Linked DNA regions of Drosophila melanogaster. The protein of the gene in region 4 interacts with the protein of the main gene of each other region in a pairwise test. Each region holds a gene or a part of one and is shown on either strand. Other genes may lie near its edges.

What was found.
Region 1: the proteins of Cpr11A (region 4) and STUB1 interact in a two-hybrid assay, tested with the Drosophila melanogaster proteins (one large-scale study listed by BioGRID).
Region 2: the proteins of Cpr11A (region 4) and MCPH1 interact in a two-hybrid assay, tested with the Drosophila melanogaster proteins (one large-scale study listed by BioGRID).
Region 3: the proteins of Cpr11A (region 4) and Mzt1 interact in a two-hybrid assay, tested with the Drosophila melanogaster proteins (one large-scale study listed by BioGRID).

The regions. Positions count from the first base shown.
Region 1 is NT_033779.5:10,433,956-10,441,393, reverse strand, and holds STUB1 (STIP1 homology and U-box containing protein 1), read right to left. Parts: upstream 3,847-7,438; 5' UTR 3,556-3,846; coding exon 3,433-3,555; intron 3,354-3,432; coding exon 3,155-3,353; intron 3,094-3,154; coding exon 2,952-3,093; intron 2,804-2,951; coding exon 2,698-2,803; intron 2,639-2,697; coding exon 2,582-2,638; intron 2,513-2,581; coding exon 2,270-2,512; 3' UTR 2,154-2,269; downstream 1-2,153. Other genes in the region: Nse4 (Non-SMC element 4), read right to left, coding at 768-833, 889-1,218, 1,282-1,449, 1,506-1,723, 1,775-1,865; holn1 (hole-in-one), read right to left, coding at 4,225-4,887, 4,953-5,145, 5,205-5,308; TBC1D16 (TBC1 domain family member 16), read left to right, coding at 6,057-7,438.
Region 2 is NT_033778.4:11,899,720-11,907,929, forward strand, and holds the start of MCPH1 (microcephalin), read right to left. Parts: upstream 4,200-8,210; 5' UTR 4,055-4,199; coding exon 3,862-4,054; intron 3,820-3,861; exon of another isoform or gene 3,745-3,819; coding exon of another isoform or gene 3,693-3,744; coding exon 3,446-3,692; intron 3,122-3,445; coding exon 2,900-3,121; intron 2,832-2,899; coding exon 2,639-2,831; intron 1,676-2,638; exon of another isoform or gene 1,269-1,675; coding exon of another isoform or gene 243-1,268; exon of another isoform or gene 1-242. Other genes in the region: Zip48C (Zinc/iron regulated transporter-related protein 48C), read left to right, coding at 243-1,268; reb (rebuf), read right to left, coding at 5,121-5,125, 5,187-5,559, 5,676-6,327, 6,390-6,547, 6,621-6,728.
Region 3 is NT_037436.4:2,385,202-2,391,742, forward strand, and holds Mzt1 (mitotic spindle organizing protein 1), read left to right. Parts: upstream 1-4,063; 5' UTR 4,064-4,134; coding exon 4,135-4,383; 3' UTR 4,384-4,449; downstream 4,450-6,541. Other genes in the region: Svil (supervillin), read left to right, coding at 3,566-3,580; CG32299 (uncharacterized protein), read right to left, coding at 4,520-4,639, 4,700-4,984; CG32298 (uncharacterized protein), read right to left, coding at 5,073-5,222, 5,282-5,734.
Region 4 is NC_004354.4:12,482,670-12,491,258, reverse strand, and holds Cpr11A (cuticular protein 11A), read right to left. Parts: upstream 4,290-8,589; 5' UTR 4,178-4,289; coding exon 4,166-4,177; intron 3,433-4,165; coding exon 3,218-3,432; intron 2,943-3,217; coding exon 2,763-2,942; intron 2,618-2,762; coding exon 2,212-2,617; 3' UTR 1,811-2,211; downstream 1-1,810. Other genes in the region: Lsp1alpha (larval serum protein 1 alpha), read right to left, coding at 1-599, 667-876.

The DNA.
Region 1 (7,438 bases), on a different chromosome or scaffold from region 4:
AAGCCCCAAAATCTCAGACAATAGTGCATCGAGTAACTTGATCTACTACATCCAGTTTGAATAGAAGCACTGATCTCTTAGAAAAGGCTATACTCCATAGAAAGCCTTTTAAACTCCGTCGACCGCAAAGATGCAATTAACCCTAAGCTTCATTGTGCAATAAATCTTAATTAATCTTAATTTCTCTTTGTGGAATTAAGTTAACGGAATTCAATTAAAAGCCGCTGTGCAACGGAAAGTGCACTAATTTCGAGCACAGGAGTGATTTTTTAATTAATGGACCAATCATTCATTCATTCATTATTCCACTCTGCAAAGTAATTTATTTGTTTAATTCTTGGTATGCCACCCATTGAGACCAGGAAAAACGGATTAAGAACATAATCCGAAACTGGTTAAAGTTATAAGTAAACAACTTAACTAATATTTAGTTCCTAAATATAACATACATACATTTTATATTGCTATAACTTCACAAGTGCCCCTTCTACATATTTCACAATTTGTAGGCGGTCATAAAAATTGACATAATGGCAGGGGCGGATTCGTAGTAAAATATTGGGGGAAGTGTTTGAACTATGAAGTAACTGCTTGAGTAATAAAATTCATTTAATGATTTTGTGTTGATATTACGTTAATTACTTAATGTTTGGGGGAAAGAACACTTTCAATTACCCGATTATTTATGCCGTACATGAGTAACTTTAAACGTTCTATGTGTTTTATTAATAACAATATAAACTATTAATATGAACTAAGTGATATATCTATTTCTCACTAACCGGAAGTCTTTTTAACATTGGCTCATGTAGGTTGTAGTGCTTTACCATTTTCTGTAATTTAAATCATATCAATTATAATGCTTTAAACAATAATTGAAATACGAACCTCACAAAAGGTAACATCGATGGAACAAATAGCCTGGGACGGTGCGTTTCCTTCGACCGATTTGGAATTCACAACGCGAACCAATGGCAAACCATCCTCGCCATTTTCGATGGAAATATAGTTCTCCTTGACAAGAAACGACAGTTGCAAAGCGTTCTGAACGGTGTCCATAAAATTGTTTGGATTGCAAATCAGTTTAAAGTACGGAATCGGCTCTTGATTGCCATCTCGATATATTTGTCTTATTTGCTTCAGCATGTGGGTTACGGACGCTGCTCCTTCGTCCTTGCGTTCCAATTGGTCACTCTTTTCTGGACGCTTCTCATCTACCTACAAGATCCATAATAATATGAACAAATATTACTGTGAGAAATTGTTTAACAAATGACTTACTTGAGATTTCGTTTTGCGAGGAGCACGTTGCTTTTGAACCACCACCTTTGGAGTAACATCTATGAAGGGCAGCATGCTATCATTGGTGAAGAGTGGTCTTCCGAACTGAATAGCCAATGAACAAAGAGCATCCCAATCTTCTTCGCTCTCTTTGAAAACCAAATCGTTCTGTAATAGGATCAAACATTACGATCAGGCATAAATAAAGTACACAGTGCACCTACGATCGCCGTGGCCACCATTCGATCCGTGACGTTGGTGTTATGTTGGATAGCTTTTCCCACAACTTCGAAATTGCGACGCAGTAGCTCCGTGTCCAGGACAAGTTCCGTGGAGTTTGTACGGCGGTCTTCATGTCCCTTGCTGATATCGTTGGCTGTCTGAATGATTTCCTCTATGGCCGTGATAGACTCTCCGATGGTGTTGTTTTCGATTTGTTGCTCTGCAATTCATATAGTTATTTCAGATATTAGTAATTTATGATTTAACTTACCTATCTCAATATTCTTTTCGATCAGATTTTGCAGACGCAGTATGCGAGCATCTTGGTCATCCATTTGCGATTGGCTTTCAGACGAATCCATATTATTGTTAAATAAATACTAAACAAAGAAGAGCGAAGTTAATCCAATTGTGAATTCACATAAACAAATTTCTTTGAAAATGATTTCTGCAAATCTGTAAGCAGCTGTATATCGATAATTTGTTTGGTCAAGATATCACCAACTTTTTGACTAACTGGAACGGGTGATCGAAACTATATTGTTTTCACACTACCGCTAACTCTCTATCGATATCGTGCAAAAGCTTTTTTATTTATATTTTGAACATTATGCTGTTTAATTTATTAATAATTACAATTTATCCATTTACAATATAAATCTCAATTGCAGATCCACATTTATTATCACTTATCTGGTTTTTAGACAATGGGAACTGGGTTCTAACATCTAATCAATTACAATGACAATGCCAACTAATAAGTAACTTAATAATCTAAAGACCATTCATTCTCGGCAATAAAAGAGTCAACCACTTCCTTCATTGAAAAATTTGGTATTAGTTGATCCTGAGTGAGCTTAACGCGTGTCACAGGATCGAAATGTCCAACCCGCTGCAAGTGTTCTTCTATATCTTTTCGTTCATACGTAATTCCAGATGGAGTTATCACAGGGTCTGTTAATATTTCAAAACTTATTTTGCCACATAGAAAATCGGGAACTTCACGTTTCTGTAATATGTAAATAACAATATTAGAACAATATTTTTAATATTGGTTATTTTTCCTTTAGTTTCTTACCTTTCGACGTTCGTCAACCTTAGAAAATATATTGTTAAGTTCCTTAATATGGTCATCCTAAAAAGTAAAATTAGATTGTCAACTCCGCTAAATATTCTGGTTAAAGTCCAACTTACGCATTCTTGCTCAATTTCCTGTTGCTTGTCTTTCAGCTGCTCATCGTGTACATTTCCATTCAGCTTTAAATTGGCCAAACGGCTTTCCATGTCCCCTTTTATTAGACTGAAACATAAATATTTAGGTTTTGCACAAATTTCGCTTTTTTTAATATATATTCTATCACATGAGGACAACAATTGCCTCGATATCGTCGTGCGGTGACTAAATTTAGTTTGCAAAAGGCATCTAGAGAATTCGAATAACATCTTACCCATTTAAATAGCTTTGCAGCTCGATTTCCTGCTGTATTCGCTTCTCCTCCATAACATTCCAGCGCTTTTTGCGAGCTAGTCGCAACTGTAGTGTAATATCATCCCCAAAGTTTTGCTTCTGCTCCTTGGACAGATCGTATGCTATAAGTTTCATATATGGTTAGTTAGTGTAGAGAACATCAAAGGTCAGGTATTATCTAACCCCGTTGAAGGTGCTTTATAGCCTCGTCAAAGTTGTCGATTTCCATGAGTCCTTGGCCCAGGAAGAAGTGACCCTTCAACAGATTCCCATCGATGTCGAGGGCGCGCCGACTATCCTGGCAGCACAGTTCCCATCTCTTCAGTTTCAGGTTGCAGAGGGCTCGGTTTGTGAAGTATGTGGCGTTTGTGGGGTTCTTTATCTACATATTATATGGAGCATAGTGCACATGTAAACAACAAAATACACATCACAATAACAAAAATATGTGAGACACCTACGATGGCCTTTGAGTAGCAATTTATTGCGTCGTCATATTTTCGGGCTGCAAACAAGCAGTTTCCCTGCTCCTTTAATTGCAGATCTGATAAATTGGTCGTGGAATAGATGTGCTTGGTCGTCATCCTGACGAATCTTCTGCGCCTGGTCCCAAATTTGATTTTCCACCGATGAAAAGTGAGTGTGTGTCCAACAACACCGAAGCACTCGTAAATTTGTTTCCTCTGCAAGAATTGGGGAACTGCTGCACGAACTTAACAGTTAACAAAGTATTAAGTGGGAAACGGTAGTGACTTTTGAACGCTCATAACACCAAAAAGATCTTGAGCTATTCGCCTGTATTTAATTAAACATAAAACAATTTTCAGCTACGTTAATCGATGTGTTTCTAGAGTTGCCAAGACTCACAAGCTTAAATTAAAGCTGCACATTCATCGATTGCACTATCACCGCCCAAACGATACTTTTGCCACACTATCGTTTGCACATTTCAAAAACAACAGTGCCATTTTCGAGTTTCTCGACTATCAGATATCTCTTACTGAACTAGTGGGTCTAATAGAAGAATCTTTCGCTATTCGTCACTAGCGCAAGTAACTCGGATACATAATTTGGTATATCTGACCAAATTTAAGAGCCGACAGAATCAATATGAATATGAATTTTATTTTAAGTCCAAACCAAGTGCAAACTAATTGAAACCTCTTGTAAAGTATACAGTATACAATTATAGAACAAAGTATTTGCAGAAAACATGTTAAAACCCAAAGAATTTAACATTTGTTAACTAAGGCCTACAAGTACAAATCGAAATCTATGCGGTTGCTTGTATAGAAATTTGTGTTTTCGCCGCACTTTCGCACATAGACTCCGTTTTTAAAGTAGTTCTCCTGGGACCATTTCAACATTTTCTCCGTGGAAAAGGGTCCCTGGATATCAGTCTCATCCTGCGACCATTTAAACTCCCAGGTCACCTCTGAGGTAGTCGTCGTTGGTTTGGAGCTATCACTCGACGATGTCTTAGAGCGCTCCAATTCTTTCGTTTCGAAATCATCTGCATACATATCAATATCATCGGCTACTTTAGGTTTGCTCGTTCCTGGCAAATCGGCGATCTTGGCCTTGATGCTTTCGTACGTATCCTGATATATATCCATATTGCCCGTCTTCGAGAGAATCTCGTTGGCCAGCTCGGTGAGCTGAGAGATTTCCTGTGTCTTTGGGTCAACGATGCCGGCCTTTTTCTGCTTAATCCTCTGAAGGGTTGTTAGGACGGGGCGCTGCTTACCCAGACGCTGCAGGGTCATCTTGACAGTCTCTCCCGGTTTCATAAACTCGACCATTTTCATGAGGTTCATGGACAAGTTAAAGGCCTTGCCCACGGGTTCGTTCTTCTCCTCATCGGAAGAGTTTTCTTCATCTTTTGCCGGGTCGAAGGCGTTCTTCTGTGTGCCAATCTGTTAGGCAAATATTGCTTTTAAATTAAATGATTGTGTACAGGCAGCAGTGATGGAATCCTTACTTTAACCCAGTCTATGTTGTCCAACCAATTGTCCTTTGCTTCCGTCTCCTTGTTCCAATGGTAGTGACCATCTTTGTCGAAGTGTCCCTCCTCCAGTTCTTCCTTCATATTGAAGGGTGTTACCTTCACATCGTCTTCCACTTTTGCCACGCCCTCCTCGCCGCCCTCAATGTCGCTATCATTGAGGTATTCCCTGCAAACAAAAAGTGCCGAAATCAAAACAATCAATTGTTTGCACATTTTAAGCATTACCTTTCGTAGTCGTCAGAATCCTCTTCATCGGAGTCAAGCGTGTGTTTCTTGAAGGATTCCTCTTTCACTTTCTGGGATGCTTGGTGCTTTCTTTTGCTCGCCATTTTATCAAGAACTCAAGACAAAACTAAATGCAATGTCAATATTTTTAAGCGACTATTGATTCTATTTACGTTAGTGAAGGTAAGTCTGATATCGATAGCTGGAACATATGCTGTTCCAATACCAATGTTCCTGTAGTTTCTAAAATTTATTTAAATTATATTTAATTAATGTATATATAATATGTTTTGTATTCCATTTGATATATAGTATGATTATGTGAAGAAAGCTTATAGAAATAGACTTAGATTTGATTGATTTGCAAGCTGAATAAGAAGATATTAATATACACCTACTCGCATTTAATATATTATCATTGTTATTAAAAATATACCTTTTCATTGCAGTTTGAATTAATAAATCCTCAACATTTTTAAAGTATTAAATATCGAAACCAGTCTTAAAACCATCGACTGTTAACTGCGCCTGCGCTGAGTTTTCGCGTAAATTCTTTTCCTCCAATGTCATCCTGCTTGTGAGAGGTCCCTAGAATCAAAAGTTAATAGTTTTTTTTTTCACCAATCCGCTGTGTTACAATTAATTGTCGAATCAAAGGTTTAGCCAACCAATTCCTAAAATTATGGTAACCAGCGACCGCCATAATCAAACAAAAATCCGCCAAACCAGAAGCTAACCAGAGAAAAAAGTTCCCCATCCGCCCACTAGTAAATCCGTTAGGATAACTCCGGGAAGGAAACCTATAATTCACCATATAGTAGTTACCCGCTCAAGGATATCAAATTCGAGACCATGCCCATAGGAAGCATTATCAAAAAGGCTTCTAGTTTCATACTGGGCGACGAGAGATTGGACAGAAAAATCGATATTGCTTACGAAGACAACGAAATCCTCTTCTGCAAGAATAACGTCTGCATCCATCCGCCCACAATCGCCCGCGATGAGTCGGATATACTGCACAATCCGGGCTATTTGACCTGCACGACAAAGACCTTTGTAGATCAGTATAATAGCGCCAAGAGGCCCACGCTTCTGCTCACCTGGATACCGAACTCGTCGCTATGCAAGTATACCAATCTGAATGCCGACGATTGCCGGGGTCAGTGTAATCCGAGGAGCAAGTCGCCGGACTCTCGAAACGGCTACTGCCACGTGACCATACCGCAGACGATCCAGGAGAGGGACATTCGGGAGGAGGATGAGAACGCGGCGGATATGCAGGAGCTAAAGAACGAACTGCAACCGCTGCTGGGTGGCCAAGCTGCATCCATAGACGACTTGACCGCTCTGCTGAAGAATAACCCCATCACGTCGGTGAACATAACGATCTCCAATCCGCAGATCGAGAACAGCAATATATCGCAGTCCTTCAACTGCATCACCATCCGGCCGGATAGTAACAATTGCTCCGATTGCACGAATGGTTCTGGAGTAGGCGATGGCCCGGCAACCGATAACCCAAAGTGGACAACACCTGAACTGCTGGCCTTCAAGCACAACCTGGAGTTCCCGGATAGCGGCAATTCGACGCCAGCCGATCGCCAAAAATCCGCGATGAAGTGCCGCCATTTCTCCGTTGACCTAAGCCAAATGCGATCTCTGCGCCTTTTCTTCAATGACGACAACTGCACTTCGGGTCAGCTGGTGATCGCGTCGCGGGAGTCGCAGTACAAGATTCTACATTTCCATTACGGTGGCTTGGATCACCTGGCCCAGGTGCTGCACCAGTGGCACTGCTTTCTGCACAACATCACATCGGAAACGGGCCAGGATAAATTCGATTTGCCGTACAGGCACTTCATGGTCTGTCGGCCGGAGGTTAAGAAATCGGAAATGCATCCGGACGAGGGCGATGTCAAGAAGATAACAACGAACTTTTTCTACGGCACGCTGCTCAATGAGAAGGGACAGATCGAGGACGACTTGCTGCTCCGGAAATGTGTCTTCTTTGGTGGCTTGGAAAAGAGTCTGCGAAAGACGGTGTGGCCATTCCTTCTAAAGTGCTACTCATTCTCCTCGACATTCGAGGATCGCGCAGTGCTCATGGACATCAAGCGGCAGGAGTACGAGGAAATTACGCGAAAGCGCCTGTACTCGATGTCCCCAGAACAGCAAATTCACTTCTGGAAGACCGTGCAGATTGTGGTGGAGAAGGATGTGGTTCGCACGGATCG
Region 2 (8,210 bases), on a different chromosome or scaffold from region 4:
AGATTCCCTTGAAACATACACAGAATCTAAAACTCCATTGAAATTGGTTCTCAGTTGTTTTGTTTACCCAGCAATCAGTGCCCAAGAACGTGGCACATTTCCAACTGTGGGCGGGTAAACAATTGCTGCGCAACAATTAAGAAAACTTGTTCGCCCTGTCTGTGTACACGCGAATAAATCTCGGGAGTACAATTCCATACCAGCCGGTGACGGGCACGGAAAAGCAGCTCTAACTGTGCAAGATGATTCCAGGCTATGGACCCGTCACGCAGGCTCTGCTGGGCACCCTGCTTACCTGGGGACTGACCGCCGCTGGCGCCGCCCTAGTGATCTTCGTCCGGGGTAACCAGCGGAGGTCTCTGGACGCCGCCCTGGGATTCGCAGCTGGCGTAATGATAGCAGCCTCCTTTTGGTCACTCCTCAAGCCGGCCATCGAAATGGCCGAGAGTTCCCATTTGTACGGAGTATACGCCTTTCTGCCCGTCGCTGGAGGCTTCCTCTTGGGATCGATCTTCGTCTACGGATGCGACAAATTGATGTCATACCTGGGCCTTAACAGCACCAACATGATGATCCAGATGACGCAATCAAAAGCCAAGGCGGACATAGCCATCGAGGACTCTAAGCGCAATGGAGTTGCCCCCGATAGGTTGGCCTCAAAGAGTCTGGACAGCTTCTCCGACTGCCTTAGCGTGCAGCACAGCGGCGAATCGAGACGCCGAAAGAAGGGAGCTAGCATCAACGAGATGGAGCAGTGCACCTACACCACGCCTGAGGAGCAGCAGCGCGCCGAGGACGCCCTGTCCCAGTGGAAGAGGATTATGCTTTTGGTCGTGGCCATCACGGTCCACAACATTCCAGAAGGGCTGGCTGTGGGCGTAAGCTTTGGTGCCATTGGCTCCACGAACTCATCGACATTTGAGAGCGCCCGCAATTTGGCCATTGGCATTGGCATTCAAAACTTCCCCGAGGGATTGGCTGTCAGCTTGCCACTGCATGCCGCAGGATTCAGCGTGAAGCGGGCTCTGTGGTACGGACAGCTGTCCGGAATGGTGGAGCCCATTTTTGGAGTTCTGGGCGCCGTGGCGGTGACCTTTGCCAACCTGATCCTGCCATACGCCTTGTCTTTTGCGGCCGGAGCCATGATATACATTGTGTCGGACGACATTCTGCCGGAGGCTCATGCCAGCGGAAATGGAACGATCGCCACGTGGGGCACTGTATCCGGCTTCCTGATCATGATGTGTCTGGAGGTGGCGCTGTCGTGAGGAACGAACGGCTCGCCTTCGCCCGCCTCGCAGATTTCATAATCTAGTGCTAAACTCAAAGATTCCACTGTACTTAACGCAAAACTCTGCTGTCTTGTAAATAGAAGCATGCTGTGTACAAATCTCAGAACCAGCCCTAAACGAGAATCTAATAATCTAGCGTAGAGTGTAAGTTTTGTAGAAAGAAGCTTGACAACCAGCGATGCCGCGACGACATCCGTGCAATTGTGTATCTGTGCACACGTATCTGTACAGCATTCCCAGCGAGTTATGTAAATGAACTGTTCTAGGAAAATTTGTAAACAAACGTGCATGTGAATTAGGTTTTAAGTTGTCACCGGCGTCCAGTAGCTTGTGTCTTTTTTAACCGTCTAATGTCTAAGTAATAAACTAAACGAATTCAAATGAACATCTCTCAGTTGCACCCACTCGCTTTTTTCCCTCACAAATGTAGCTGTCTCCGTCCGGACAACTTCCTGACCGTTTCTTTGGCCGTACGATAGCTGATAAGGGCAAGTAAATTCACTTAGATAACCCGGAGTGCCAACAACAACAACAGCTGGTTGACTCGCTGTCAGCCAGTGATAAGTGATAAGAATCTGTCCGACACGAAGAGTTCCCAATATTGCGCGTATTCCGTGTTTGAGATACGTGCAGTTTCAGACGGCCCGCGGTCCTGCGTTTCTGTTCGCCATTTTCTGGATTAACTAATCATTTCAGATATGTATGTTTGTACTCGCACAAGTGCTTTGGGCCACAGTCCACCCACTGTGATCGTGGTCATCAGGAAAAGTGGTCGATAAGACCTCTTGCCGGCTATCTGTTGTACAATTTCCATATAGTTCTTTATGTGCGCCATAAAACCATAAACTCGGTATGAATGGCCTATTAGTTGGGGGCATATCTCAAGTGGAGTTAATGCTTCTGTGTCCGCAATGCCATAAATTGATAGTGTCAACGATTAGACTAATTAAAGACCTATTTCTTTTGTAATCGAAGTGTAAGTTAAAGCTGCCATTTCCAACCAAAATGTAATGCAGAGTTGATGAACTCGAAAGTACATTGTCGTCTTAGATCTGATAAAGCTTTTGGGAAGTTGTTAGGCCTAACAAATAATGATATGATAAGAATATTAAAAGTTGTATGAAGACCTTGATAAGTCAACTTTTAATATCTACGTACATACAAGCCTATTTTTGCAATGTGTTATTGGGTATTTTGCAGTGAGCTTAGTATTATGAGAAGGCAAGCTAAATTATAAAGCCGAATGGTGACAATTAAAAGTTATCTTCTTAAGCCCCATTTATCCCCATTTGAATATATAAATAAGATCGATGATGCAACAGAAGCCACAATTAGTAATAACTTACCGGCATTTTGCCAAAGAGCTCGGGATACTCGTACATGCGTATATTGCTGATTGGAAATTGCTTGGGATCGCATATTTTCAGCTGCACCTTGCAAGCTTCAATCCACAGAATGGAAACGACTGGTATATTCCACTCGGTGGCCTTTTTATAGGTGGAGAGCAGGCCATCCTTGAAGACAACGTGTGTGGTGGTTCTACAAGCCAAACGAAAAATGTTTAATTGAATATATTTTAGTCAATCAATTGTAATCCCTTAGCTTACCGCGTTAGGCGATCTTTGACCTGGGCTCCCATCTTGGCAATAATTGATTTTACGCCCTCAGAGCGATTGTCGTTTCCAGTTCGCACCTCCACATATACGACTATGTCCTTGAGCAACTCGGGGAGGGAGGGCGGCTCCTGGGGATTGCGTTCTTCCATCGTGATGATGCTTTGTTCGGCTAAAGGCACATCGAAGGTATTGTATGCCGACTTGGTGGGGCTTCTAAAAATGTATACAATGTAAAAGCGAATGCATTTTTTTTATTATGATCAGTTTCTTCTCAAATCAGATTAGATTGCATTGCAAAACAATAATTAATAATAATAATAATCAATACTTGGTTTTGGCAAAAAAACCTGGCTTGTTAATATAATAGTTATTGATGGATATGGAATTATTAGGGATTGCATCTAAAGAATCTAACTTTACAAAATTAGCGATAAAATGGCTATAAAAGGATGGATTAGTCAAGAATCTGAGCTGTTTTCACTAGTTGACCTTTAGGTTGTATAAATAACAATTGCAATAACCAATTTTTGTCCTTACTTTAATGCACGAATGGCGCGTAATCGGAGTGCAGCGTTGGGGCTGTTGAGATCTTGCTGCAGTCGGGCCCAGTGTCCTTCCTGCCTGGTTGGCGTGGCTGCTCCGATGGGTGGATCTGGTTTTGCTGCAGATCCTTCTGCTCCCGCCTCGTTCTCGTCCTGGTGGAACTCGGAGCGGTGCTGGCTGATCGCTTTGGAGACGGCTAATGCCGGCTTGAGCATCAGCCGATCCCTGGCCGCCTGGTCATCTAGCAGGAGGGAACGCAACTTGTTAGTAATGCTCGGTTCGTTTGTCGACATGGTAATCTGTTTTTTTTTTTTTTTTTTGAATACTACGAATTTTGGGTGAGCTACGTATCCGGAACTAAAACTACTGGGTTGGGTGTTCAAAATGTAAAATAGGCATGCACAGCCAACCTGCCGGGGCCTGGGATAGAGATTTGGGAGACGGTGCCGCTGCTTTGGACCTGAAGTCGCCCAGATTTGAATCGTGCAACGGTCGGCGGGTCGATGACGCCGCTGTTTTCTTGGCAGCTGCGGCGGAACTGGCCACGACCGATCCGTACGTCTTCGTCTTCCACGTGGGATTGCGCAACAGAAACTTGTCCATGGTCACGGGCTATGTTCTCCGCACTCTGGCGCTCCTTATTGCAATGAAGTCGGTCGCAAAACTCTGCAAAAGAGGCGCCAATAATTTTCTAATCCAAACCTCACAAAAAGTGCAACACAATGTGATAGTGTGACCGGGTAACCTCAATGCTACAAGATCACTCACTGGCAATCGGTTATCGTTCTCACCGAAAATCGATTGTTTTTATATGGTCTCCGTTTAGTACATTAAGATTTTAGTTCGATGACGAATTTGGCGGCATTTTATTATGTATTTAATTTAGGAGACAAAAAATCTTGTGATAGCGCAGGTTTACTTTTCACCACCAATGTTTATCTTAGAAAGAGGCAAAGCAGTTTAATAAATTTTAAGTTCCGATATTTAAACACAATTAGTAAATGCAAAAATGTCGGAAAATATATATAGATATAGATATGTTTAAATGTTCTCGTAAATGAAAATCAAACTACACACAATTATACAAAATACCTTTATTATTCAGTTTCAGCAGCGTAGATTGTAACCCGTTTAAAGTAAAACACTTATATTGACTTTCATAACTCTTTTTTAATGCGTACTAATATCGATTACATGTTTTTAATTTGATCTTATTTACATATGAAGTGTATGTACAGAAAAATAATAAGAAAATAATAAATTGAACTTGCCTAAAGTAGCAATTAATTTGCATATGACATTATCTGCCCCCATCCTGAATCTCAGCCAAACTCTCCGTGCGCTTATCGTGGGCTCTAGGACATTCTCTCAGTCTTAAACGATTTAAGAAACTATGGCAAAATTTTAATTACTCATTACAAATTGCATAATCATTAAATCTCTCTGCTTGACTTAAAGTTAACTGCGGTTAATTAGAGTTAGTGCGTATTAAGTGACGTACGCTAAATGGCTGCATTTCGCTGCATTTATCACAAAACTGAGCGAAATGCACTCCACAGTGATCCAGTGAATCGATGATCCTTCACTGACCAAACTTAATCGTAGGCTTTGACTAAATAATTTTAGAATTAACGCTAGACGATGAATAAATTAGGGCCAGCCAAAGTGATCATTCTGAAATGGCGAAATGTTCTGATTAACTGAGATACACTTAACAAATTAAGTGGTCACTTACCATGTGCGCTGATCAGACTACGTGCATCCCAGAGGGACATTTGCGACTGGGAGAGACGGTGCTGCGGTGGATACAGTTTGTAGGGGAAGTACGAGTGGTGGAATGTGGCAATGGGAATGGGTTGCGCCGGCTGCAGGAACTGCTGTTGCTGGTGCTGTGCCGAGATCTTCCGCGAGATCTTTGGCTCCTTCTTGGGCTTGCTGGCTCCTCCAGGGCACGGCTGCTTCGAGGACTTGATGAAGTTGGGAATACGCGCCAAGAGTCCGCAGTAGTACGGATCATCCTGCTTCTTCCGCTGCTGCGACCCGCTGCTCTTCTGTCGCTTCTTGTCCGCATATATGGGCGTCAAAGATCCGCCAGATTCGTAGTCGGGCTGCAAAGTGTAAAAAGCAAATAAGAATTATTAGGCTAAGTTTTTTTTCCCAAACAGGTTAAAAGGTTTGAAGTCCCAAATTTTTCAGGTAGAATGTAATCTAGGTTAGAACCCACCTTGGGCACATATGGACCCTCGTTGAGGAAGGCGGCACTAAAGATGCTGCGCCGTCCCTTGCTGGAGTTGCTCGAGTGCTGGGAGTTCTGGGAATCATCCGACGCGGCGGGCGTAGGATAGATCAATCCCACTTGGCTTTCGATGGTGGAGTATGGATCCTCGCTGCTGTTCGTCAGCGGCACTCGCATGCCCATCGCATCCAGTGACTTGGGAATCGTTTGGAGGCGGCTCCTCAGCATGTCCATGGCCACCACGTTGACCACGAGTATCCAGACCGGAGAGTTGATAAGATTGTTGTTCGACTTGACAAGCGATACGGCGGACAGGCACTGCCGTTCCAGTCTTCCGCGCTCCGGATAAGTGCGGGCAAACTCGCGGTTTATGTTCGTCTGGAACTTCTTCATATCAAAGAGTCGAGCGGAGGTGGCCGCGGTGAGGGACATCTGCGGCATTTGGATTATGTCGCCACCGATCACCGTCTCCTCGTTGCCCTGCGATGTGCTGTTCACGTAGATGCTGCTCTTGCCATACCGCTTGATGAATATGTTGCCGGTGTCGTCCATTTTGATCTTGAATCCATCGCCGATGGACTTTTTGATCACCTTCGTCTCCGCATCGCGCATCGGATTATCGAAGCCATTCAGCCCAATACTGTGGATTTAGCCATATTAAATAAGTTGTTCTTAATAGTCAAATATTAAGTTCAAACTCACCGCACTCCATCGAATCCATTCTTAGATCCATTTATGGTTATCACAGAGGAGCGGGCGTAGGCCTTGGCCACTCGCCGATTTTTCTCGAAGACAATTATCTTGGCCCAGATCTCGTCGTCGATTTGCTCCCACTTGGACAGAACCTCGTTGATGTGATCCTGCGTGGTGTCAATAGGTATGGATAATGGATGAGCTAGAGATCAAATGAGTTATAATGGACAGGAAACGCACCCTGAAGAGCTTTTCGCGATCGTGCCAGACGTCTTCCTCCTGCTCTTCCTGCCCGATGGCATCCAAATTGTCTAGGGAGCGCGATATGATCTTGCGGCGAGAAATCATCTTGTCGGTCTGATCGCTTGATTCGTTTCCTCTGCAACGGTAGAACATTTTCCGAAATTATTATAAATAATTATGAGACAATTAACCTGCGGGTGCGAATGACTTTGATTGGATCTGGCTAGCAGTCGAAATTAAATCCCCGTCGAATGGGACACGCACTGAAAAGATTATTAGGCAATCAGTCCAATCAATCTGCAAGCCAATGAACTCTGCGCACGGATGGCAACAATGGGTGTTTTTGGGCTTGGATTTTTTTTGTTAGATAGCTCGCTCCTTGGGTCGATCCATCGAATCACCAATGTCACCGCCTCTAATTGAACGACGGCGATGCCTTGACAATTGTTTGGTGTTAAACACTTTGTCGAACACTACTCGCATTTTTGCATTTATATTGTTGTTGTTGTTGATATTGCTTTTTTTTTGGTTTGTTGTGTTCGGGTCAGGCCAACTGGCCTGGCATTTCAATTGGCCATTTGGGGTTTTCCTTCAAAGTCAGTGTGATTTGCTTATGCATCGCACTGCCGTCAGCGTTTTGTGACAAAATCCAGTAGTGGCACATACTGTCAGGTGGATTGGCGGTCAGCCACGTGATTGGCATTAATTGCGGGCCAAATGCGATTTACCAATAAATGAGTGTCACATATTCCCGCGGCCAGTGGCAATGAAAGTGAGTCTGTCTTGGTCTTGTGGAACATAGCTTCCCATTCCCAATCCAAAAATATGTGACATTTCTAAGCGTGATCGAATTAAGGGCACTACATGCCCTGCATTTTCCACGACAACCCAATCCCTTTCGTGCCCCAATTTAAATGTTTTTCAAATTACCCAGAACTGCAGTCTGTGCGCTTTAATAGCCAACGAGCGAGTTTCCCATCGAGCATTCACAAACATGGATTTCGATCCATTGAAGCCGCCGACTTGGGCTTTCTATTTGGGCAAGCGTTGGCGTTGGTTCTTTAATTAACGAACAGAATGGCCATAAAACCTGATAAGTGTCACGCACTTCGCTGTCTCCAAAAACTTTTTGCTCGAAGATCCGTTTTGGTTAGAAGAAATTTCAAATTATAACTGGTTTTCGTTTTGGCAAACGCTAAGATTAATGGCGAATAATATTTTGGTAGACACGCCCACGGCCCGACGATTTTGACACTTTTTGCCAGTGAGAAATCTATGAGAAATTTAGGGAAAAGTTCTAAGAAATATTGAGTTACTTACAACATGAGATTCAATCTAATTACAAACACACTCCGTAACCTTTTGAGATCTCAAGAATTCCTATGAATTGACCAACATTTGGCTTAATTAGAACCCACCCCACATTCATTCATGATTCAGGGGCCCTGCTGTTAATGATGGCCAAATATCGCAAAGATATCATTGCCTAGCCACGACTTGACCTCTTCGCGACTGGAAGTCAAAACCCCAAGAGCAACATTCAGTTGCGTCTGTTTCATCTTCTATTTTAGAGCGATATGATTAAGT
Region 3 (6,541 bases), on a different chromosome or scaffold from region 4:
TAAGTCTCGATGGAGCAAACTTGATTTATGAGCGATTGCAGTTGCAGATACGTATATATTTCGCTATCGCCGCACTCTCACTCTCGGCTGGTCCATTTGGAAAATGGCATGTCAACGGAAATTGCTTAATCATTTCCACGCATATCATGTACACCTCGTATACATATGACTAATGCCATCTGTCTGTGCTCTTCCTTTCCGCGCAGGTAAGTTTTACTGCTATCGTTTTTGGGCCATAGGCAGTTAAAGGAAATCATTGCGTAAGTCAATAAAAAACGGAGTTGATTTGTTTACTTAGGACTTCCCCCCCGGGGGAGGAGTTGCGTAATCCCCGGTTCCTGCGAGGAAGTGGCTCGTAAAAAGGGAGCCATTAGCATGTGCAGTCTGAAAAGCGAGGCGCATAATGGATTTTCCAATCAATGCAGCCCATAATTATGCTCACCAATGAAGTTATTGGCTCATTTGGTCAGGCGGCTAGCGAAATAAGTGGAAAATGAACTGAACGGAGATACACTCCACTCCTTGATTATCGTGGCCATCATACGAACATATCTCCTTCACCACCACTGCTACCTGACCCCTTGTCGCGCCTAACGATCTTTAACCTGACCAACAACGATCCCATCCCGGCCATCTCGGCCCAGACAGTCTGCCAGTCTTTTGTTGTTTATTGATCGTCGTGTTGCACAGCATTCAAACGTGCGTCGAGTGAATTTGTGTCTTTGTATCTTTGCATCGCAGTACCTTTGTATCTGGCGAATGCATTTCGTTGTATCTCAAGTGTATGGGATTGTTTGTACCAATGTTTGTCCGGCTCATTTGCAAAATCTGCTGGGTAATCAGACACCGGCTAGGGATGTCAATTAGCTTATGTTGCTGCTGCTGCGGCTGCTGTTTTGCCAAGTGCGTGACCATTGAACCTGCATTTCCCATTTCCCATTTCCCTGCTGCTTTAAGTGAAAGTGAAAATGCCAGTCGTTCGTTGAACTTGCTGGGAACTTGGCATAAGCAAAGCTCTGCCGACCCTCAGAACTAATTGAAGATTTCATAACTCAGCATTTATGGCCCTTTGCAATCTCAGTGTCAGACTCTAGGAGTCTAAAGCAGACAATTTATGATACAAATTAAATGCATGAAAATTATGATGAATGCGAGGCGAAATTTATGCTGATGACATACCCAACAAAAGAGCGCCAATCCGCCCAGACTCCTACGGCTTCACAAGCTCCTTCTACCTCGCCTGCTCCTGCTCCTGCTCCTCCTCGTCCGCTTCCTGGAGGGCAGCTCCAATCAAGAGCCAGACGATCCACAGACAACAAATCGCCGAGTCAAGGAGTTTGCGGCCCAAGTCGTTTCTGTGTTCATGGATACACGCAAAAAACGATGTGTTACATAGTAAAATCTTTGGAAATATGTATATTATTATGTAGCTCGTTCTTAATAACTAAGATATTTGAATTTACTACACTTATTCGTGCCACTTTCTCTAAGTGTAAGTCTGGATCTGGTCCTAAGTTCCATTGCCTCCCGCCCCTTCCTTTATGGTTTTTTGAGCAGCTGCATGAGGGGCGGGGAGTACAACGAGGTGGACTCCTTGTGGCTGTGGCTGCCTGCCTCTAGCCGAAAGTTGTTGCGTATTTAAAATGGAAATTGCAAGTTTTTCGCTGAGCGTTCCCAATGTCTTTTCCCTGTCTCTCTTGCTCGCTCGTCGACGCTTTTGTTTCACTTTCGTTTGCTGATTGCAGGTTTTTTGTCTTAGCTCATTTTGATTTTATTTCTCCCGTCTTATTCGGTGCATTTATCACGGTGCCACACATTTGTGCCACAAGATGCCAGAGAATCGGGCGGGCATGGCCAATGAAATTGGCCGCAAGTTTCCTTTTCATTTTCATTTTTTTTGCAAATTGAATGCTGCTTTTCAAGCCGATTTCAAGGGTGAACGATTATTGGCCAAGACACCACACTCCTTTCGCCATGATATTTGAGTGAAATTTCTTCATGCAGATCCATCTGCAGTTTTGTCATCTCTCGCTGGCAGGTTATGAAATATTTCGCAACTTTTGCTGCGAAAAATTTCCTGTTTTTCTTCATTTCACTTACGCACTTCTCTCCTTTGGCGGAGTTCGGTGGGTTTCTCGGCCGATTGGTATTAATTATTATTATGGTCTCGTTTTTGTTTCGCCTTACGGATTTCTGCAGCTTTTATTTTTAATGCCCAGCGAACCTGTTGCAATGCGTTCCACAAGCTGAGATATGCGCCTGGGTGTGGAGAGATGAATAGTTATGAGGTTTTAGGTTTGGCTAGCCAATCTTGGTTTTCCAAAGGGTGCCTGACACTATATATTTAGTTTTATTTACTATCATAAAAGTACGAATGATCCACTTCTATCCCATGACCAACTCACGTATGTTCGCCCCATGCTATTCATCCCTTAGTCTTTTCACCCATTAAAACCATTTAGCATTCATTAAGCCCAATTTCTGCCCCATCCATGGTGCTCGGAATAATCAACAAATTAACTAAATTCCTAGTGGGCGCCTCCATCCCCAGAATAATCCAAATTCCGAAGTTGTGACATCAAGAAATGTCGAAGCGATTTCAAGTGCAGCCCCGGGGAATCTTGGGAACATATTCGAACATTCCCAATCGTCCGCAACCTGTTTGATCCGTTGGTTATCAAAGATATTTCCAAACATGTTCGAAGCGAACCTCATGATGAGGTTGCATGGAATCCATAAGATACAATCCACAAGCTGCTTTGCAGCTACAGCCCAGCGGAATTTCAATTCAGTTCGCGCTCAACTCACAGACACGATGGTCATTCAAACGCGTTAACGAATAATAATTTAAAATAATATTCAAATGATAAATACACTAAAATATGCACTAAACCACGCACTAAACCTAAATCCACGAACTGTACATATTTGTGTAAATAAATAAAGTATAAACAAACAGCGAAGAGAAACCTCGAAATACCAATAGACCGCTCAAGTTCCCATACATTGAGCTGGCCAATCGTGTTTGAAATTATTTGTTTGATCGATTTTGTGCGGTGTGAACACCTTGTAAAGGCATTTGCAAACCTATTGCCATAGCAAGCAAAGTGTGTTAAGCTGGGAAACACCCTCTGAAAAGTTTATGTACTACCCCCTTCGATCGGTCGAATAATAACTACCACAAGACAAGCATTAAGTTTGTGTTTACGTGCTGCTGACTAATTGCGTTTATATAGCCCGACTATATAAAACTGTACAATAAGACACGGCCAACTGTTTTAGTTTGAACGCCTCAGTTAAAGCTGCAAATTGCTTCGCTACCAAGTGAAGTTCTACATTTTCGCAGCGAAAACGTTTTTCAATTGATTTTCATTAAGTGAAAAAATCCCGAGATTGTCTTCTTTTCGGTTTCCAATTGATCGCAATTGCACCAGACCCATAAAACATATATACAAAGTGAGGCTGCATTCCAAGTAGAGCAAGACAGTAACCACTTCATCATCACAACATCAGATGCTGCATAATTAGCATTCGTTGCGTGGAGCGTCGAAAAAAAAAGCGGAAAATGTATCTCATACAGGTGAGGCCAAGCGATACAATGGATCCCCCTCTCACGATTAAGTGTTTGCTCTTACTTATCACATGCTGGCGGCACTGCACTTGCCGACTGAAAAAGATCTTCATTTAAGCGTTTTTTAATTGTCCGCCAGCTGAGATTTTCAGCATTTACAATTCTCCCCTCCGTTTGAAATGACTGTGAGAGGCACGCATCTCTGGCGTATATAATTTGTTTAATTTGTAGCTAATTTATCTTTCCACTTGGCAGCGGGCAGATCGGATGTCGAGCAAATGGGGGGGGGTTCACTGGAGCAGGTGCCTCATTACTGAACTTTGAACTTGAAACGGTGTTACGATTTACAGCTGGTAATGGATTACGGTTAGGCATCGGGGTTCGGGTTAGCAGAACAAATGTGCAGGCCTGAGATTATGAAGGGAACTCAAATATTTTGACATAACCATTAATCATTTGTAAATGATATACATTCAATCGATTGCTTTTGAGTTATCTGTCAGCATTGCCCTAAATTATTTAGAGATTTATTCCGAGTTTATATCAAAATTTGTGGAATAAGTATGTCAGAACAACCGACACAACATAAATCCGACGATCGCTTCACTATCCTGCAAACCTTATCGGATGTAGTGGACTCTGGTCTCAGCAAGGAAGCCCTTAAAATCTGCATCGAACTGGTGGACAATGGTGTCTGTGGTGGAGCACTAGCACATGTAATTCGAACCATTAGAGAGGAGATTCAAGATGATGAAGATAAGGAAAGTGATGATTCCGGAGAATCGGCTGCATCAACAGACTCAACTTTGTAGGAAATGAATATAAAATATATTTTTGTGTTTATATTTTGTGTTTGTTAAATTAAAAGTTCAACTTTCCGATGGTCTGTTTCCGAAATTTGTAAGACGCTGGTTCTTGGACATCCAATTGCATGATTTTTGAAGGCTTTCAAGAAGACTTCGCCACTCTATTTGCATTCATCAAACGCAAGCGACTGGCGTTTCTGAAAACGGTATATGTGCCGGCCATGATAATGAAAAGTTGCACCACTTTGGCTTGATAGTAGGTCTAAGATGATAATGTGTTTAGATAAAAGCTTATAGCAAACCGAAGCAACAAACGACTCACCTGTCTTATATAGATGGGCAATGGAATGTGCGATCGATGAACATGGTAATCCATTCCTCTGAACAGCCAATAGCCCGGCCACGCCCCCAAACTGGCGAAAAGAAATGGTGCTGCAGTACTGTAGGCCTTTTCAAAGGATTGCGAATGCACCAGTAAACGTATCTCCTCGCCAAGATTATGCATCCGAGGTGGGTGGGCTATTGCCTTGGCTGGTTCCTCCTCCTTTCGCTTAAGCCTCGTCGAGAACTTCTCCTTCAGATTGCCGTAATAATTTTGGATGCCCATCTTGGAAAGGTTTAATTTTCGACCGAAAGTTGTGTATTGTGTGTGTGTGTAAAGTTTGGACAGAAACATATATCAAGGCTTACCTGAACTAAGAGGAGTCTCCGATGTCAGCTGTTTCTTCCTGATTATTGTGCACTGTATGCATTTCTATTGGTATGCCGGCAGGTCGACCCATTGATATCGTGAACAGACCAGTGGCTAAGATAGCCAACTGCATTAGCTTGGCCTGTTGATAGGTCTGAAATGAATAGTTTTCAATAGGTTAGACTGCACGGGGTAGACTGCTATATTTCAAACCCTTTGAATGTAAAATGCGATTCTCTCCGTTTTTCGTGCGGACTGCCAGTTGTAGCCGCGCCAAATCCAAAACGCTGGCCAGGACAAAAAGCTGACCTCCAGATAGGGCAATATATCAATTATCTTCTTCGATAGACCCTGAGGTGCGTTGCGATCTACGAAGTCAACAAACTCTAGCTCGTAGTTTAAAGCTGGAGCCGTTTGTTCCCTAAACTTTTGCAACTTGACATCTGGGGTTGGAATATCACCAGAGGTTAGGGGTTCAGTGGTATCAGGTGCAGTTCGATCAGAGTCCGGCTTCCCAGTTTCCTGGCTCGAAGCTTCTGGTATTTGGTTTGCAGTGGTTTGGGTTTCTTGTGCATTCTCTACATTCTTAGGACTGTATACCACCGCTGCAATGGGGGAAGTAAAGTTATGAAACAGCTCTGAGATCTTCTGGAGCAGCGAATCCATGCTGAAAAGCTGAACTTTTTGACTATTAATTTTCAATTTTCCCAAAGGTGCCAAAGCAAACAAGAATAGCTTGCTGGGTTTTTGGTTTCGTTTGAAAAGTTCAAAGACTCGAGGCAATTGCATAAATTATCGCCTTAACTCGTTCGTTCATGCGGGCTTACATTTGTTTTAAACTAATTTACCCTATTCATTTTTCTATTTTCTGTCTTTTTATTTTGGGGGCCCACAGAAGCCGCAGAACAAGCTTCATTATTGCCGGACTGCGGGTGCCCAAGATTGGGGTTCTATAGTACGAGTACGAGTATAGTCTATATGGTGTATGGTGTACAGTGTGGTGCCGAAGTGGGTCAGTTGGTGCAGCGGTTCATGCAATTATAAAGCGCATATCTACAGGTTGCATACCAGATACCTCCACTTCCACTTCCAGCTCGACTTCGACTTGGGTCCATTGTGTGGCAGTGGCCAACTGCTAACGGCTCGGACTACGGCAGGTGTCTCATCAGTTCATTGTGTGTTTTTAGTCTTTCCACTGGGTCTTGTGTTTTTCGGTTGAAAATGTGGCTTACCTTCGGCGACAGCATGGAGTTGTATGGCTTTTGCCGGGACAAAGACGCACCTAATGAAGTGAAAATCTTTGGTTCTATTGTGATAGTTCTTTGATTAGCGGACTTCGTTTGGAATATTCTTAAGCCACTCCTGATGGTTCATCGATCATGTGGAAAGTTGACATCTAACACTCTAACAGTTCTCTGCATCTGCGGATGAATTGAGAAGACTTAGAATTGATCCACTTGCCCACTTATTTAC
Region 4 (8,589 bases):
TAGTTGCTCTCACTGTACCAGTGCTCGCCCAGACCCATCAGCTTCCACCACTGCCATGTCTTGAAGTCCTTCATGTACATGTAGTCGCTGGTCTGGTACATGCTGCCAAATTCGTGTTCATATGTCTGTCCATGTCCGTGTGTCTTACCGTATCCGTATGCCATTCCTTGTTTGTATCCATGTTCGTATGAGGAGAAAGTTGGAATCTTGTGGTACACATCCATATACTCCTTTTCGTACAGGCTAGTCTTCATCCACATCTCATAGTCGAATTTCTCGGCCTCCATCACAAATTTGCTGTTGAAGAAGAACTGCGGGAAGATCTCATGGATGGCGGGCAGAACGAGTCCATGGAAATCATCGCGATGGATCACGGCCAGGGTCAGGGCATAGACGAACATGCCCTCGTTGAAGTGCATACGAGCGAAGGCCACATTGGTCATGAAAGTCTCCCAGTCCTTGGCGTAGTAGAAGAAGTTGAAGAGTCCACGTGCCTGCTTGGCATGGTGCTTAACCAGGGCGCCAAAGAACTCGCCCTTGGGCAGCAAAGCGTGTGCCTTGTGGGCCTCGAAGAACTTCTCCATGTACAGATCGAAGTGCTGCGAAGAATTGAAGGTGCATTTTGTGGTACTGACCACTCGGAATCCGCTTTCTTCTCCCACTTACCGTGTAGTGCTCCTTGTCGAAATAGAACTGCTTTCCCATCGCAATGTACTCTTCGAACATCAGCGGATCCTCCACGCGGTAGACGATCTCGAAGAGGAACTTCTGCTTCATCAGGAACGCCTTGTCAGCGACCTTGATGTCGTGGGTCTTGTGGTAAGCGGTCGCAGTGACCACGGCCACACAAGCCAGGAATGCGATGGCAAACTTCATCCTGGAAACTCCTTCTTTTGTTCGAAACACTCAACTTTAACTGCTCCGGATCGGATGCACTTGATGGATCCAATGCCTAAAGACTGTTGCCTTACCGACGCCCACGGGTCTGCTTATATAGCCACAGATTCCCGCGGTAATCGGAAATAACATATCTGTGACGACGGGATCAGGGATCATCGGGTGTATCTCAGGTGCTCGCCACGAACATCTGTTGCTACTGCACCGCAACAGCTTATCTCTGGACAGCCTACGTTGGTCCCTACATATCGAGTCCAGATTTGCATTCCAAAAATAGCGTTAGATTCGGTTCTTTGTCTGCAATTTCTGCACAAGTTTCAATCGCTTTGAATTTTAATTATTTATATGTATATAATATAGAGATATTACCAATCATATACATATTACGAACTAAAGTTAAGCATTGGCAGGCATTATTTTGAGAAAAGTGTGTACAACGTGGCGTATGAGCAATGTCATAACTTTGACCATTTGGCTACCACTCTATTCCGTTTTTAAAAAAGTTTTAAATTCCATATACATAACGAATTTATCAAGCAAACTTGTCTGCTGCTAAGAGCCTTAACTAGAAGTCATTAAATATCGCTTTAATTTATATATTTATATGTAGATGCAGATGAATTTCATACGTTTGTTGCATGCTTTTAGGCATTCGAACAAAATCATAATCTGTAATAATAGATTCTGTATCTAAGTTGGAAAATTGTATATGCCATGCTTATAAAACAGTAAACAAACTATTCATTTTCAGTTAATAAAACTTAACTTTATTCTGAAACAACGAATTTTTTTTTGTAACGATGCTGAATAAAATTTCAACAATTGCTTGCAATAACATTTTATTACAAAGCCAAAATATATATATAAATATCCCCATCCATATTATTCCTCAATTAAAACACATTAAAACTTTGATCGTTAGTTTAGCCATTTTATTTACTACTAATATCACTCAGTGTATATACATAGATTCGTTTGTGTCTTTGCTCGGGATTTGTGTGTGTGTTTGTTTTTTTTGTGTGTGTGTGTGCGTGTTTTTGTGTAGGCTAGATATATAACATATATCAGTGTATAATATCATATAAAATTGTGCTCCGTGTATAACACTAAAAAATGATAAAAAAAAATTTCGCTAGCTCTGTTTTACTCTTCATTTGCCTGTTGGAGTTGCACTTAAAAACTAAATACTTGCAGCTGGGGGGAAAATCGAGGATCGGGAATCGGGAATCGGGAATCAGGAATCGGGAATCGGGTGGGGCATAAATCTTGCGGGAGAAGGGTGTTGGATAAGGGTATATCTAAATAATAATCGCCTTATGCGGTGGGCAGATACAGACGAGATGGCGTCGCCAGGGGCACCTGAGGTGGCTGATAATCGTAGCCATTGCCGTTGCCATTTCCGTATCCGTTTCCAACTCCATTTCCATTTCCGTATGCGTTTCCAGCTCCATTTCCTTGTCCGTTTCCAACTCCATTTCCGTATCCGTTGCCAACTCCATTTCCGTATCCGTTTCCAACTCCATTACCGTAAGCATTGCCATTTCCATAGGGAGACGTGTAGCTATAGTCATCGCCACTCTGTCCACTGCCCCTCAGAGGACCTTGCGATCCTTGATCGGAGTCCAGGGTCTGCTGCAGGAACTGGAAACGGTTCTTGTTGCCCAACAGGCTGCTGGGATCCACGGTCTGGCGCTGTCCGGCAGAAGCCAAAGGCTGGGGTCTAAAATATATAAATATAAAATAAGTTTTTTATATTCATTATATCATTTGCAATAATAGTGTATGAAACTTCTGATTTGTACGCAAATGTGCTAGTTTGAAGAAGTTCTTAAACGTTTTTTTTGTAAAGTGTATTGGTTACTCACTCGGGAATGTCCAGATCCAGCTCGGTGATGGGATGATAGCCGAACTCATCGGCGGTGTAACGGGTCTTGTACCGCTTGCCATCGGCGCCGGTGAACGAGTAGGAGCCGCTGACCACGAAGGTCTTGTCGTCCTTCAGTTTGCCCACGCTGCTCACTTCGATGCCGTTCTGGGTCTTCAGTCTGAAAAAAAAGTTCATTTTAACTTTAGTAATGCTTCGTAAATTATTTAAAAAAATATATCAAATTACTTGATGCTTTGTAAATTATTTAAAAAAATATATCAAATTACTTGAATTTATTTGCTATGCATCAAAAGTTATTACAGATCTATAAACCTATGTTAAAGTAGTTTTCTTTTAGACTGCGATTCAACTTCATATATAAATATATAATTATGTTTTAATTTAGCCAAACACTATCACTTTATGAACTATATAGGTACCATAGATACTCACTCCAGCTTGAATTTCTTGCCCGAGTTGTAGTTCTGGAGGGTTTCGGTCTTGGCCTTCATGACATCGCCGCTAAAGTGCACCGCCGGCTTGTCGTCATCGATGTCCTCGGGCAGGGTGTAGATATCGCTGGGATTGTACTTGAAGAGGTCCAGATTGCGATCTGTCAGATGCTTGACATCGGCAGCGGCCAGAGCAGCGAAACCCAGAAGGATCAGCTAAAAGATAGAATGCCTGGTTAGTGCCACTTGTCACACGATGCATTAGTCATATCTGTGGATCACAGTCGTTACGATTTATTTTTTTCGCATTCGGATTTGGATACGGATTTTGATTTGGATTTGAATTGGGATTCGTATTTTGCATTTCGCATTAACGGGCAATTAATCAAAGTCGCGCGCGAATCGCTGGCGTTTCTGACCGCACAGCGTCGCTTTGTCTCGCAATTCTCTCGTTTATTTATTTTTTTTTTCGTTTTTTTTTTAGTCTTTTTAATTTTTTTTATCTATATTTGCTGTGATTTATTTGATTTGGTTTCGGGCCGAGGCACTAATCATAATGGGTTCCAACCGTTTCGATATTTGTCATTCGTCTGTTTTGACGTCGATGAGCTATGCGGCTGCTCAAGGTGATATTCAAACACTTTAGGTTTCGGACTTTCCTTAAAGTGTGGGTCATTAGTTCTTTAATTTGGCATACTAATTCTTAGGTAAAGCTTAAAAAAAACTAAAAAGCAGCCTCGCAGGAACTTCGGTTAAATTGATTTTAATGTGTATCTTTTGTTTGAGATTCAAAATAAGCTTTAAAGTCATTTCTGTGGCTTAAAAGTATTCACACTTTTGAAGGACATTTTTTGCGCGCACTTTCACTTGATCCTTTTTTTTATTGAGACACCACAAAAAAAAAAATAACTCATTAAATATATACTTTTCAGTACTTTCGGGCACTTACAAAACTCTTCATTTTTATGTGTGTTTTTTTTTTCGTAACGAGGACTAATTTATGTTTTTTTTTTTTTATTGTAGCGGCTCGGTTAGTTCCGATGCTCACAGATTCTAGCAAATAAATACAAACGATGCGACTTCTTGTTTCCTTATATATGGTATTATCAGCGACGCCGGCAGCGAAGTCGACAGAAATAGGAACCGGACAACGAACTGAGCCTCTGTCGGCGTCGCAGCCGCTTAGAATCAAAAAAAGCCAAAGTTTGTCAACGCTGAAATCGGTATGGTATATATGCATATATATATATATATATATATGTGTGTGTATGTGTGTGAGGAAGGGGATTAGCCCAGATGAGGGGCATCATCCATCGGTGAATCTTCAGCATCCAGAAGATGTAACATTTTACGGGTCTTCTGGACAATTCTCCCTTCTCGGTATCTCCGTTGCTGACGGAGACTGATCGCAGATCGAAAAGCATAGAAATCTGGTTTTCGTGGCAACAAAATTAGAAAACCGCCATCATCAAATTAGCATACACGTTTAATGATGATTCTCTTCCCTGAGTGTGTGTGTGTGTGTGTGGTGTGTGTGTCTGTGTGAGTGTGTGCATGTGCGTAAATTTAAATCTGCGTTAATTTTTTATAAAGCATGGAATATATATATATATATATATATACTAACTATATATATACTATACTAACTTGGGCGACCAGTTTATTTTAGCGGACACCCAAGTTCCAAGTTCCGAAAGTGCCGCTGAATGGAACCCGCAAATCTTTCATCCGTTTCTTCAGCGGAAAGAGGCGATGATGATTCTTCACCACTGATAAGATGCCCCATTCTCATTCTTCGGTTTCATATGCTAATATGCATATCAGTCAGCCTTCGCTTAATTAGCCGTTTCGTTTTCGGTCTTATCAAAATTTATCAAATGCGATTCTTCTGGCGGATCAGTGTCTGTCTTGGTGTCTTCGGTGCTTGGTGTCTTGGGATCTTCTTAAGAGATCGTGAGATCTTGGGCTCAAAAATGCCATTTAACCATTTCGGACCGCACAGGGTCATCGGATTTTCGCTTTCGGTAGCTTTTCAGCGTTTTGTATTTCCATCATTTGCATAGTTATTGGTTACACTAATGGCTCCATTTATGAAACTCTTTGTTTGGTCTTCTAAATCTTCCGAATTTACTTGTAAATTGCATTATTGTTATTTGATTGATGGTTCATGTTTGTATTGGGTTCTCAGAGCGCTTGCCTTGAATTCTAGTTATCTTAAGATAGTTATTCATATTCCATTTTTAAGGCCCCATAAAAATGTAATGTTCAAAATTTACCTTTTTTTAAACTAGTTCTCGATTAATTAATATTTATTTCCTTTTTGCCAATTTTAGAGCTCTAAAAGTAAACAGTTTATACAAATCCTGATATATGACAATATGGCTTATCAAACTGTTTTGAAAAATACAATGACACACATATACACCCAAAATTCAAGGTATAACGAAAATATTGTATATTTTAAAATGTTAATATTATAGACATATTCTTTCGATTTTCTGTTTGCTAAACCTGGCTTGCATTTGAACATATATATATCTATTATTTTTGAACTATTTTTTGGCCAACTTATAGATATTATACATTTATTCCTGGATTGGCGGGTTTTGCAAACATATTTTGATTGAACACTGCATTTATGGCTGTCAGCAATCAAGTCTATCACATTTTGTCTACCCAACGCGTGGATGAGATTGAAATCAAACCGGACCGGACACGCAGCTCTAATGATAATCGCTAATGGTGCTTCTAATTTAAGTTTTATGCTTAATAACTTAAACGAATGCCGCACGGCATTCATTTTTCATTCGAAAAGAAGTATCTCTTTTTTTTTTGGCCATTTAATTCTTCTTCTGGTTGGTTGTTTGATCTTCTTGGCCTAATGAAAACGTTTTGGCCATTTCAGCGACTTGTCAAATGTGTGATGGCTGTTAGTTAGTTAGTTCGTCTGGCTCAACCAACTGAGTTCGCCTTGGAAATTAACCTGGTGTTTCTGATGTTTGATGTCTGCTATTTCGTCCGTGTCTTTGATATCAAATCGCATTTGTTATGCATACTTGCACACGCCCCAGAGTCTTGTCTTTTGATCTGTGAGTCGATCTTGATGGCTCACTTAGAGACCAGGTCCAAGCAAACGAGTTAACAAAAAGTCAGCCCAAAAGGGAGTGTCCGTCCAATCGAACTGACTTATCATCTCGATCTATCACCCCATTAATTGTCATCGCCTTAATTCCAAGTAAAAGGCTGCAGCTGCCGTATTAATTACCATGCGATTAACGTGAATTTTTAGCTATAGATTCGGCTTTACATTTGCCATTTGCATATGTGCCGCACAGAAAAGAAAAGAAAGTGTTTCATTTTTGTATCTAATTTTTATTGCGATCTTTCGTGATTTCTTTGGCAAATTAACAGATCGAACAACTTGTTACGCAGCCCCCAGTTCCCTCGTTTCGCCGAACGCTTTGAATTTTGCCGATTTTCGGAATTGTGCCCCATTATCTGGGGTATTATGAATTTTGAACGAATTTTGAGAAGTATTTTCCATTCGATATCAATCCAAAAACAAGACAAATTATGTCATTTGCATTGAATTATTATAGCCTTAGCAAGTAAGAACTTTTTAAAGTGTTCGCTATTGTTTGAATATATTTCAACATTATTAGCTTTATGTTGTTTAACGCATTGTTTACGAAACTAGTGAATAAATAAAATTAAGAAATATATATATATATGAACATACGTAGAGCATTCAAATCTTCGTTGGGTCGTAAAATACCCATCTCTCTGTTTATTTTTTTCCCGTCAACGCTTAGCCAAAACAATAAAGAAAGAGCTGAAAAAAAAACGAATATAAAATAAATAAATAAATTAGCAATTATAAGGAGACAGAAACGAGATTTCTAAGAAACCAAAACATTTAGTTATGTACCATTCGTTTCCAATCCATTCGATTCGTTTCGATTCGAAACGATTCTTTTTCTTGCCCTTGAGCAATTTTGAGGTATGGATGATGTAAAAGTTATGTAAAACCAAAACCAAGATACGATTAGGAAAACACGCACTGAAATCAGTGCCTAAAATTGACCAGCATGACGAAGAGTCATTAAGTTAGACAACGAGTAAATATGTTTACGAGACAGATTGGCTCCACTAATTCTTAAAAACTGTGGGAATTTTTTACGAGCTGCCCAAACCACCAACTTTCATGGAAGCTTGTCATGAAGTAAATTAAATAAAACAAAGGTTAATTCAATTAGAAACTTTTATACAAATATTTCATTGATAAAAATGTTTGCGGTGTTGTGTGTTTTTTGTATGCAATTGATATGAGGAACTTATGGTTATATTTCGATTTCATAGGCACTTGTGTTTTTAAATTAATTCAGATTTATTAATGAATAGAGTTATGCATATAAGGCTCTGTTACCATTTCCAATTCATGTTTCTGTTCCAATCTCTCAATGTATAATTCGCACAATTTATTGGCCAAATTAAGCCGTATCTATCAGTGCATCTAATATTCTATTGATATGCAGATCGCATTGTGAACCTCTCCTTATAGACAGTTCCATAAATCTGGGCAGCTCCATTTCGGAGCAACCCATCACCCAAGCAATCTGATCGGATCTGCCTACATCTCTCTCTCTCTCTCTCTCTCTCTCTCTCTCTCTCTCCAGCGAACTGGTTCGTTCGATGCCGTCCGTTAATCCAACTGATTTGCATTGAAGCACATGCAGAGGAACCCCATTTCTGCTCCGTACACATTATAGAATCAATACCCCTCCACCCTTCCCGTTCCTGGAATATTATTATAATTATTCTTGTAGGTGGCCGAACAACGCCCCTTATTTTTAATTTTGGCAATAGCTGGTTGTCATTAGTGGAGCATGTCCAGGGCGTGATTGAATCTGAATGGTATATTAAGAATCAGTTATGGCTGCACGTTCTGAATCAGAGATAGATATAGATAAAGTGAGCGAGACAGAGACAGAGAGAGAGAGAGAGAGATATCTGGTTGCGGCCATAAATAATATGTGGCTAAATCATATTTTACGGCCAACTTAAGGAAATACGCCATACTAAACTCAACTCGACTGGTAGGTAGCCCAGTGGTTGGTTCTACGGGTCTAGAACCCAACCGTGTAGCCGAGCAAACCAACTAAATCGAGTTGCGATCAGGTTCTCTGTGGTCTTTGACCGGTTATGCATATGCCAACTGAGCCGATCCATCGATCGATCGATCCAACCAACGCTCCTTTTTATGGCCGTTTTCTACGGTATTTTTTTTGTTCACCTTTTTTCCATTTTTTCCAAATTTTTTTTTTTTTTTTGTTTTATTTTGGTTTTGAGGGGGGGATTTTATTTTTGTTATTT